Ovis aries: one gene and its partner. The protein of the gene in region 1 interacts with the protein of each later gene in a pairwise test. Links are inferred from orthologs where the notes say so. Each region holds a gene or a part of one and is shown on either strand. Other genes may lie near its edges. The genes, in order: GRB7 and LAX1.

Region 1 (4,508 bases):
TAAGGTGGATTCTTAATAACTGGACCACCAGGGAAGCCCTGGTTCTTTGATTAACATCAGTCTCCCCGATTGGGCTGCATGAAGATAACGGTGGGATCTGTTTTGTTGCTCACTATATCCCCAGTGCCAAGCATGCGGTTGGCATATAGTAGGTACTTAACAAATATTAGCTGAGTGAATGAAGAATTGATTGAGTGAATTGTCTACCGTGTTTTTCACATGATATCCAGTGACCCAGGTGACCTTGCCTCTTTCCCCACTTCTTCACTTAGTCCAGTCTGGTTTTTTCAAGGAAAACTGAGTTTGGGGAAAGTTGAGCATCCAGTCACTCCTCCAGGTCCCCCAGGGCAGATCTCTTATCACCCCTATGAACTGTTTGTTTACTGAACTGTCACCCACTTGTGGGATGCGGCTGGTGCCTTTGATCTCAGTCTCCTAGGCCCTCTCTCCAACCTTGTGTTTGCCTACTGCTGAAGGCCAGCGCTAAGGGGAGTCCCCTGGCACCTGGCCAGAGCTTTCCCCAAACGACTTCTGCCACTGGGAGACCTTGCCTAACCCCTTCAATTTCAGAAGGAAAACCTGAGACTGTGGACTTTGCTTAGAAGGGAGGGTATATGCTGGGTGCCCCTGAGGGGCCAGGGTGCAGCCTGGGTGGTCAGACTGTGGCTGGAGGTCAAGGGGCAGGCCGTGTTGCTGGACATCCTTCTGGCTGGCTTCCCTCTTTCATAGAGTGCCCTTTGCCCCAAGGGGTAAGACCCTAAGCAGCAGACAGGCCCCCTAAATTGGGCAATGAACAGACCAGATTTGGGAAGGGGCGTGGGGAAGAGTAGGCGAGTCCCTTTTCTCTGATCTTCCAGGTCCCTGCTCCTCCCTCCCAGGTCATGAGGACTCTAGATCTTTGCTTTCGGGGCTGTACAGTTTGACTGTTTCTCCCCTGGCACCTGCTACAGAAAGACAAAAACAATCCCAGCCAGGGTAGAGTGTCAGGGAGTCCCCGCCCCTCCTCCAGTGCTTCCTCCTCCCATGCCCCTCCCTCAGGCCCCGCCCCCACCTGCCCAAGATAATTTGTTTCCTTGGGTCAGAAGCCTGGACAACAGAGCTCAACCTCCCCCGACTCCTACGTTCAAAGTCGGGACACTCTCCTACACCTGTAGAGAAGAGGGAGGGGGTTTGAGATCAAGCCCAGGTACCTGAGGTTCCTAGACAGCGCCGGACTTCGGACCCTGTGTCCTGCTACTCCAGCTGGGGCTCCTCCAGGTAAGGGCACCGAGACTGGTTGCAGACGACAATCTGCTCCCACTCCCAGCTGCACCAGGGCCCCAGGCTGTGCCAGTCTCAGGGCCAGGAGCTGACTGGATGGCTGCCCAGGTGGGCAGGACAGGAGGCCGCCCGGCTCCCCCTCCCTTCCCCTCTTCAGTGATGTCAGGCCAAGGGCGGGGAAGGGGGTGGGGGGGACAGGTAGTTAAGAGCTTGGCATCTCCCTTCCTAAATCGGTGGCCCCAGCCAGGTGTGCCAACACCCAGGGTCCAGGTAAGGACCAGAGCGCGGCACTTCGTCTTGGGGGCGGGGAGCACCAGTAGATCCCGGAGAAAGATGTGGAGATCTTTGGAGAATATGGAGAAAGATGCCGCCTCCTGCTGTGTTTTCCTGGAGGCCTCACTTTCTCTTTTCCTCCAGCCTCCCATCCTGCCCCCTCCTCACTATCTGCCCTCGGTCTTTCCCTGTTCTCACTCCCTGTTCTCTCCATTCCTTCGTCCCTCTCCACCCCGCCCCCCAACAGCCCCAAACACACACTCCAACCTGCTGATGGGGTCAGGGAAGCAGGAATCCAGATTCTTTCCTCCCCGAGAGGGGCGGATTTCCCGCTGAAACTAGCCCCTCCCCACGTCCCCAGAGAGAGAGCTGGGAGGGGTGTCCCAAGCCGAGGGGGCAGCCCCAAGTGTCTCCAGGCTCCGTCTGCTTTGACCCCAGTTTGAGTTCCCCCAAGTCTTTATTAAAGACAGATGTCTCTGTGGGGGCAGTGGGGCACCCTCCAATTTGGAGGGCAGTAAAGGAGACAGATTCTCTGAATTGCATCCGTACTCAGCAATACAGGCTTCCCTGGTAGATCAGCTGGTAAAGAATCTGTCTGCAATGCAGGAGACCCCAGTTCAATTCCATTCCTGGGTTGGGAAGATCCCCTGGAGGAGGGCATGGCAATCCACTCCAGTATTCTTGCCTGGAGGATCCCCATGGACAGAGGAGCTTGGCGAGCTACAGTCCTTGGGGTCGCAAAGAGTCAGTCACGACTAAGCAACTGAACTGAACTGAGCGACTCAGCACAGCCCTCCGGTGGGAAGGTAGGGGGTGGGACAGGCCCCGGGGAGGGGGGTGGTCCCTCTGGCTTAAGAAAGAAGTGGTCTAGGTAGGCTGAAGGGATAGATGCTGGGGGTCTGCAGCGCAGTAGGGCCTGGGGAGAGTGGGTGCGCTGTGCGCATGGGGGAGGGGGGCAGATTGCCTTGTCCGTCTGAACAGTCTTGGGGAAGACTCATCCCAGTCGGGGTCTCCCTGGCACGCTGGGGATGGAGAATACTCCTGCCTGCCCTTGCCAGGCCTTCCAACCCCACTGCGCCTCGAGAATGCCCCCTCTTGGTCTGCCTGTCCTGGACTCTGCTCTCCCCTCTCCACCCCCCGCTATCGTGCTGGGGGGGCCCCCCGTGAAGGCAAGCAGCCTGTAATGATTAACTCCACAGACACTCTAGCATTCTTCCCGAATTAAACTTTAAAAGAGCTGCCCCCCTCATTCCCATTGGATGTTTTTCCCCTAGTGAGGGAGGGGGCGGGGCCGCAGGGTCCGGGGGCCCTCCCCCAGCTCCAGGTCAGCTAGGGGTTTCCCGCCTCCTCACCTGAGCCCTCACCCTAAGGGCTCCCCCACAGGTAAAGCCTTCCTCCTAACTAAATCCCGATGCGGGCGGGGCGTGGGGTTCCTGGGCCTGGCGGGGGCCTTCCCGCCACCTCCAGGCCCCAGCTCCAGCCCCTCCCCACCCCACCCCACCACCCCACCCGGTACCGAAGGTGGCCTTGTTTTCTACCGGCCCGGCCTTCTACCCTGAGCCCTGCCACCCACCCTCGGGGCCAGCCAGGTGGGGCAAGATTCAGGAAGTAAACAAGGAGGCTGGAGGCGGGAGGGCTGGAAGGAGGGTGGGGCCCGAGCCACGGGGGCGGGGAAGTCGCAGAAGGGAGTCACAGTACTAAGGGGACAGATTGATGTGGGGGTCGATTTCTTCAATATAACCTTCCCAGGGCCCCAGTTGGAAAGTTTCAGGTCTCTTGGGGGTGGTTGAGGGGGCTGCCCAGGGGAGACAGCTAGGATCGGTTTCTCTCGCCTCTCCTCTCTTTGGTCCTGACTCCCGAGTCCTGTCCTTCCTTAGAGGGGTCTGGAGAGCTGGGTGATGGGATCTGAAGGCTAAACCCATCCAGAGTCAGCCTTCCCGCCCCCCACAGAGGCCAGACTCAAGTCTGATTCAAATCTACCCTCTCCCTTTCCAAACGCTGCCCAGATTCCCCTTCCCTCTGGGATGGGAGAGGATCCAGGCCTCCTGGTCTCAGACCACGCCACTGTTGGTCTCTGGCTTCCTGGAGCGGGTGGTTCCTGCAGCCCTTCCCCTAGTCCCCCCTGGGATGAAGTGAGCAGGGCTGTTTGCCAGAGGTTAGACGGGGGTGGGAGTGGGGGCCTTGTGTTTTGGTGTTGACGTGCTGGTGTCTCTTGGTGTTCCATGGTAGGTGGATCTTTCCCTTCCTGGCAGGGCCCCCAGCCTCGTCGCTGGCTCTCCCTCCTGGCCTTCCCCTGTCTGCCTGTCTGTGTCTGTCTTCCTGTGTGTCTTGACTTTCCACTCCTGCTGCTGAGTATGCCTTTGATCAGAACGCCCAGGAGAGTATATGAATTAAAAGGACCCTCATTTCCCAGGGATGATAAGGATGAGACCCTCCCGGGCCAGCCGAGTCCTGGATGCTAAGGGTGGGCAGCAGCAGCAGAATGCAAGTCTGGGGGGCTCTGGACAGGAGAAGGAGCACTGCATGTTTCTTTGGGTTACTTTAGGTACCCCAGGGGCACCCCTGTGAGGTCAGCTCCACTCCAGATGGGCTTCTGAATCCCGGCCAGGCTTTTCTTCTCTCCCGCCTGGGTGAGGGGGCTCCTGGGCTGGGTGGTGGCTACCTGGGGCCCTTTGCAGGTTGCACCTGGACCTGGACTGGAGGTAGGCCAAAGGTGGGGAGGAGGAGATGATGTCAGAGGAGCCTCAGCCTCCCCCCCCCCCCCCACATCTTCCTCCTCCCCAATCCTGTTCTTGTGGTGGGGGGGGGAGTGGAGGGGATGGGTAGAGGCAGGGTTGTTTGTGTTTCTCCTAAGCCAGGAAGTAGTGGAGATGAGTCAAGGGTGAATGGAGAGCTCCAGGCAGTGTGTCCCGCCCCACCCTGACTCACCTGTCCCCCAAATCTCCTCTTGTCCTCACTTAAAGGTTGGGGACCTG
Region 2 (4,599 bases), on another chromosome or scaffold:
GCTTTCTGTCTTGCTTGGAAGAGATTATCCACTTACAATTAAGCAGCAGCTCTGGGACAAGAGTCCAGGTTGCTTGCATTTAATAATCCCTGTAGCATCAGCTTGTGGGGCTGGTCTTCAAGCAACACTCTGCTCTGCTGTGGAATTTGACCATGCAGATGCGCTGGGTAAGGACCGGGCTGTTCGCAATTCCTGGGCAGGGCCAGGCTAGCTCTGTTTTGGCTATAGGAAGCAGCCAGTTGAGGTTACAGAGTGCATCACTAGCAGACTTGCCCCTCCAAATGCTAGAAACCAGGTCATCCATCAGGGAAGGTTTTTGTCCTTATGAGTTCTAGACTTGTTCACCCAGTTTCATACCGGACATTTCCATGTAGTAACCTAATAGACATCTCAAACCAAAAATGTTTAAAACAGAACTCCTGTTCTCCCCCACCCCCCATAAGCCTGTTCCTCTGGTGTTTCCTGTCATCTGATGGCTTGGTCAAAACCCTTGGAGCCATTCTTGAATGTTTTCTTTTTCACACCCCACTGCTAGTTAACCAGCAGTTTCTATCTGCTCAACCGGGACATGTACCCCAAAGCATCACCTCTTGCTCCTCCATTGCCACCACCTCGGTCTGAGCCACCACTAGTTCCACACAGACCTTTGCCAGAACCTCTCTAATGAGCTCCTTGCTTTCACTCTTGGCCCCAACATACTATGTTCACACAGGAGCTAGAGTGATCCTCTGAACGGTTAAATCAGATCACGTGCCCCCTCTGCAACCCCCCATGACTTCTCATCACACGTGGGATAGCATCCATTGTCCCTAACAGGTGAGAATGTGACGGCCTCTTCTCTTCTGCCTTTGCCTGCCTCTGACCTCCTTTCCTACTATTTTCCTCTGACCTTGATGACCAGGACTCCATGCTGCTTCCAGCAAAGCACAGTCTTGTCTCAGTCTCGCTGCTCCCTCTCCCGCAGTTCAATCCCCTCATTTAATTTAGGACTCTTCTGAAATGTCACCTCCTCAGATAGGTCCTCCCTAGTCACACCCTCCTGGGTCCTCCAGTCCCCTTACTCTGCCCTGGTTTTTCTTCATAGCTTACGACTGACTGATGTTATGCTAGCCATGCTTTTGTTCATCTGTTTGTATCTGACCCTCCCACTTAACTGTAACCTCCAGGAGGCTGTCCTTGTCTGTCCTATTCACCTTGTGCCTGCCACCGTGCTTGGCACTCAGTAGGAACCTGATGGATATTTGTTAAATGAATGAATGAATAAATTATCAAATGAATGGATGTAGAAATAGTATTGGAGGAGTGCTGCAGGATTCTGACACTTTATGAATTCCTTCCCCATCAACGACCTTGTCCACCTGCAGGGGACAGGTATTTGTTTATCATGGTAATGACATTTACCTCCCCAAACTACAGTGATTTTTAATTTATTGCTGTTGAGCTGTGCTTTTATCACTGCACTGAAATCAATACCTCTCAGTGTCAAAGTTTCAAGTATTGATGGACTTTTTGTTAATATAATATTGAAGGTTTTAACTGTAAGATTTACATCTATGATTAATGCTGTGGGGTTTTATGATCCAAGGCTGTGTCTTTATCATATCTGTGATTCCATTTTCATTCATGGCAAGTGTTTAGGACGTAAAAGCACATCTGTGTAAAAAGTGGGCCGTTTGTTTCCATCAGAGTAGAAACTGGTTTTTGCTTCTGTTTCTTTGAGGAGTGATCCGTGGGACTTGAAAAAGGAAAGCTCAAGGACCGCCATGCGGGCCTCTGAGCATGAGAAACCCAGCCATGCCAGGAAGCCAGCTCTAAGGAAGTGGTGTGTTATCATATTTCCTCTCTTCCCAACAACTCCTTTCTGTTCGCAATACCTATTCCTTTCCTCCCAGCAGTTCTGAGCAAACCTCTCTGAGCCAAGAGTTTAGCGGTCTTAGGAAACGAGAGCCTGGTGAGGGGTGGCAAGGCTGCTGGGGTAGAAGCTCCCCAGGATAGACCAGGACCCTCTTTCTAAATCAGGGGAGGGGAGCGCTCACCGCCCCTGGCACTCACTTGTTCAGGCTGCCGAGGGTTCCCCGCAGAGTGCTGGGCTCTGAGGTTCTCCCTGCGGGCTCCGACTGTGCTGACGTGGTGGCATCCATTATTCTGCGACCCTCTCTGGCTTCAGCTTCTCCTCCTAGGCCTTCTCTTAGTCGTCATCAGCTTGCCAGTCAGCTTGCCACTTTTCCTGTCTCTTCCTAAACTGCTGACTCTCAAGAGAAAAGGCAGAATTGGTTTGTCTTTTACATATAATCCCATCTAGTATAAGCATTTTTTTTTAGTAAAGAAGAATGACAGAAATCCTCCTGGTCTCCATTTTCTGAACCTTCCTTGACATACAACTCGACTCTCAAATTTTCATCTTCTTAAATCTTTATCAAAATCCATCACAAAAAGTCTATTGGTTTTTACTTCTCCCTTTCTAAAGCTTCCAGTCTTTCTTTCTAGAACTTTCTCTCCCACAACCAACTCTACCTTGCGTCTATCCCTGAAATGTCAGGCTGACTTGACCCAAAATACAAAACAGCAAGTTTGGCTCTACCTGGTTGTGGCTGCGATGCTGACTGCAAGAGGGGAGAGCGCTTCTGGGTGTGGAGCTCCCCAGCTCGGCTCAGGGGGACGCCAGACGCTCTGCCTTGTGGCGGGGACGTGCGGGGCTCCGAGGGGGAGACGGCCAAGAGGGCAGAGACGGGCTCCTTGAGAAGTTCATCCTCCCCCAAACCCCCAAAGCAGAGAGAAGAGAGCAAACACTTTGCCAGAATGGAAACAGATAGTCAGCCACAGGAAGCAGTACCACCGACGTGCTGATGAAGCCTGGGGCCCAGGAAGTGCTGCTCAGCTCTCAATATGATAGAAGCAAGGGCGCCTGCACCCTGTTGCCTGGGCTGGCTGATGCGCTGTGGTCTGCGGGGAGCGTGATTCAAGAGGGGTCAAGGTGATAGGGTGTGTGTGATTGCTCCCCCTGGGTTTCTGTGATACTGAGTTTTATCGGCCTCCGGATTGACAGTGTTTGTTTCAGCGTCTGAGGAGCACTGGAAGGTGCTTTTTAGAAACAAATACAGATTTTGGGTGCCTGTGGCTGGCTCCGTGGGTGCAGGGTTTCCCAAACCTGGTGCCAAGAGCAGACGGCATGCGCACGGGCAGTCTGGAAGACGGCAGATGGGGAAGCAGACAGAGCCAAACCTCAGAACCTCGACAGCTGCTTTAACAAAATTTTGAAGAACGTCCCCCTGCCTGCGACCATCTCAAGGTTTTCCCTTGTGTGATCTTATCATCTACACAGCGTGTTTGAGTCAGCCAAGTCTTCCATCCCCTCTTATTTTCTCCTGCCCCCATGCTTGAGGGAAACAGCCTCCTCACAGGAGGCTCCCAGGCCTCAGACTGAGCTCTGGGTCTTCCGGCTCTGGCTGCACCCCTGCCCTCGCCACAGTAAACCAATTAAACCAACCACTCAAAACAGAAACCAGGTGTCTGAAGCAATTCGTCCTGATAGTAGAAGAAAACCATTCACTCCTGGTGACCGCATATGTGTTTTAAACCTAACTGCTCTGGTGTTGCCTTTAACCACTTGATCAGTGCAAAGATATAGAGGAAAACAACAGAATGCGAAAGACCAGAGATCTCTTCAAGAAAATTAGACATACCAAGGGAACATTTCATGCAAAGACGGGCTCAATAAAGGACAGAAATGGTAGGGACCTAACAGAAGCAGAAGACATTAAGAAGAGGTGGCAAGCATACACAGAAGAACTGTACAAAAAAGATCTTCATGACCCAGATAATCATGATGGTGTGATCACTCACCTAGAGCCAGACATCCTGGAGTGTGAAATCATCACTATGAACAAAATAGTGGAGGTGATGGCATTCCAGTTGAACTATTTCAAATCCTAAAAGATAATGCTATGAAAGTTCTATACTCAATATGCCAGCAAATTTGGAAAACCCAGTAGTGGCCACAGGACTGGAAAAGATCAGTTTTCATTCCAAGCCCAAAGGAAGGCAATGCCAAAGAATGCTCAAACTACCGCACCATTGCACTCATCTCACACGCTAACGAAGTAATAGTCAAAATTCTCCAAGCCAGACTTCAACAATACGTGAACCGTGAACCCCCAGATGTTCAAGCTGGATTTAGAAAAGGCAGAGGAACCAGAGATCAAATTGCCAACATCTGCTGGATCATAGAAAAAGCAAGACAGTTCTAGAAAAATATCTACTTCTGCTTTATTGACTATGCCAAAGCCTTTGACTGTGTGGATCACAATGAACTGTGGAAAATTCTTAGATAGGAATACCAGATCACCTTACCTGCCTCCTGAGAAATCTGTATGCAAGTCAAGAAGCAACAATTAGAACAGGACATGGAACAATGGACTGGTTCCAAATTGGGAAAGGAATGTATCAAGGCTGTATATTGTCACCCTGCTTATTTAACTTCTATGCAGAGTACATCATGTGAAATGCCGGGCTGGATGAAGCACAAGCTGGAATCAAGATTGCTGGGAGAAATGTCAATAACCTCAAATACACCACCCTTATGGCAGAAAGTGAAGAAGA

What was found.
Region 2: the proteins of GRB7 (region 1) and LAX1 interact in binary tests that used the Homo sapiens proteins (3 or more experiments, as listed by UniProt). The two-hybrid records come from large-scale screens. The link is inferred for Ovis aries from reciprocal best matches to the Homo sapiens genes GRB7 and LAX1.

What each region holds. Positions count from the first base shown.
Region 1 is NC_056064.1:39,846,617-39,851,124, forward strand, and holds the start of GRB7 (growth factor receptor-bound protein 7), read left to right. Parts: upstream 1-1,487; 5' UTR 1,488-2,339; intron 2,340-2,864; exon of another isoform or gene 2,865-4,508. UniProt on the Homo sapiens protein: Adapter protein that interacts with the cytoplasmic domain of numerous receptor kinases and modulates down-stream signaling. Promotes activation of down-stream protein kinases, including STAT3, AKT1, MAPK1 and/or MAPK3. Promotes activation of HRAS.
Region 2 is NC_056065.1:1,326,044-1,330,642, reverse strand, and holds the start of LAX1 (lymphocyte transmembrane adapter 1), read right to left. Parts: upstream 2,822-4,599; 5' UTR 2,582-2,821; intron 2,252-2,581; exon of another isoform or gene 2,246-2,251; 5' UTR 2,142-2,245; coding exon 2,053-2,141; intron 1-2,052. UniProt on the Homo sapiens protein: Negatively regulates TCR (T-cell antigen receptor)-mediated signaling in T-cells and BCR (B-cell antigen receptor)-mediated signaling in B-cells.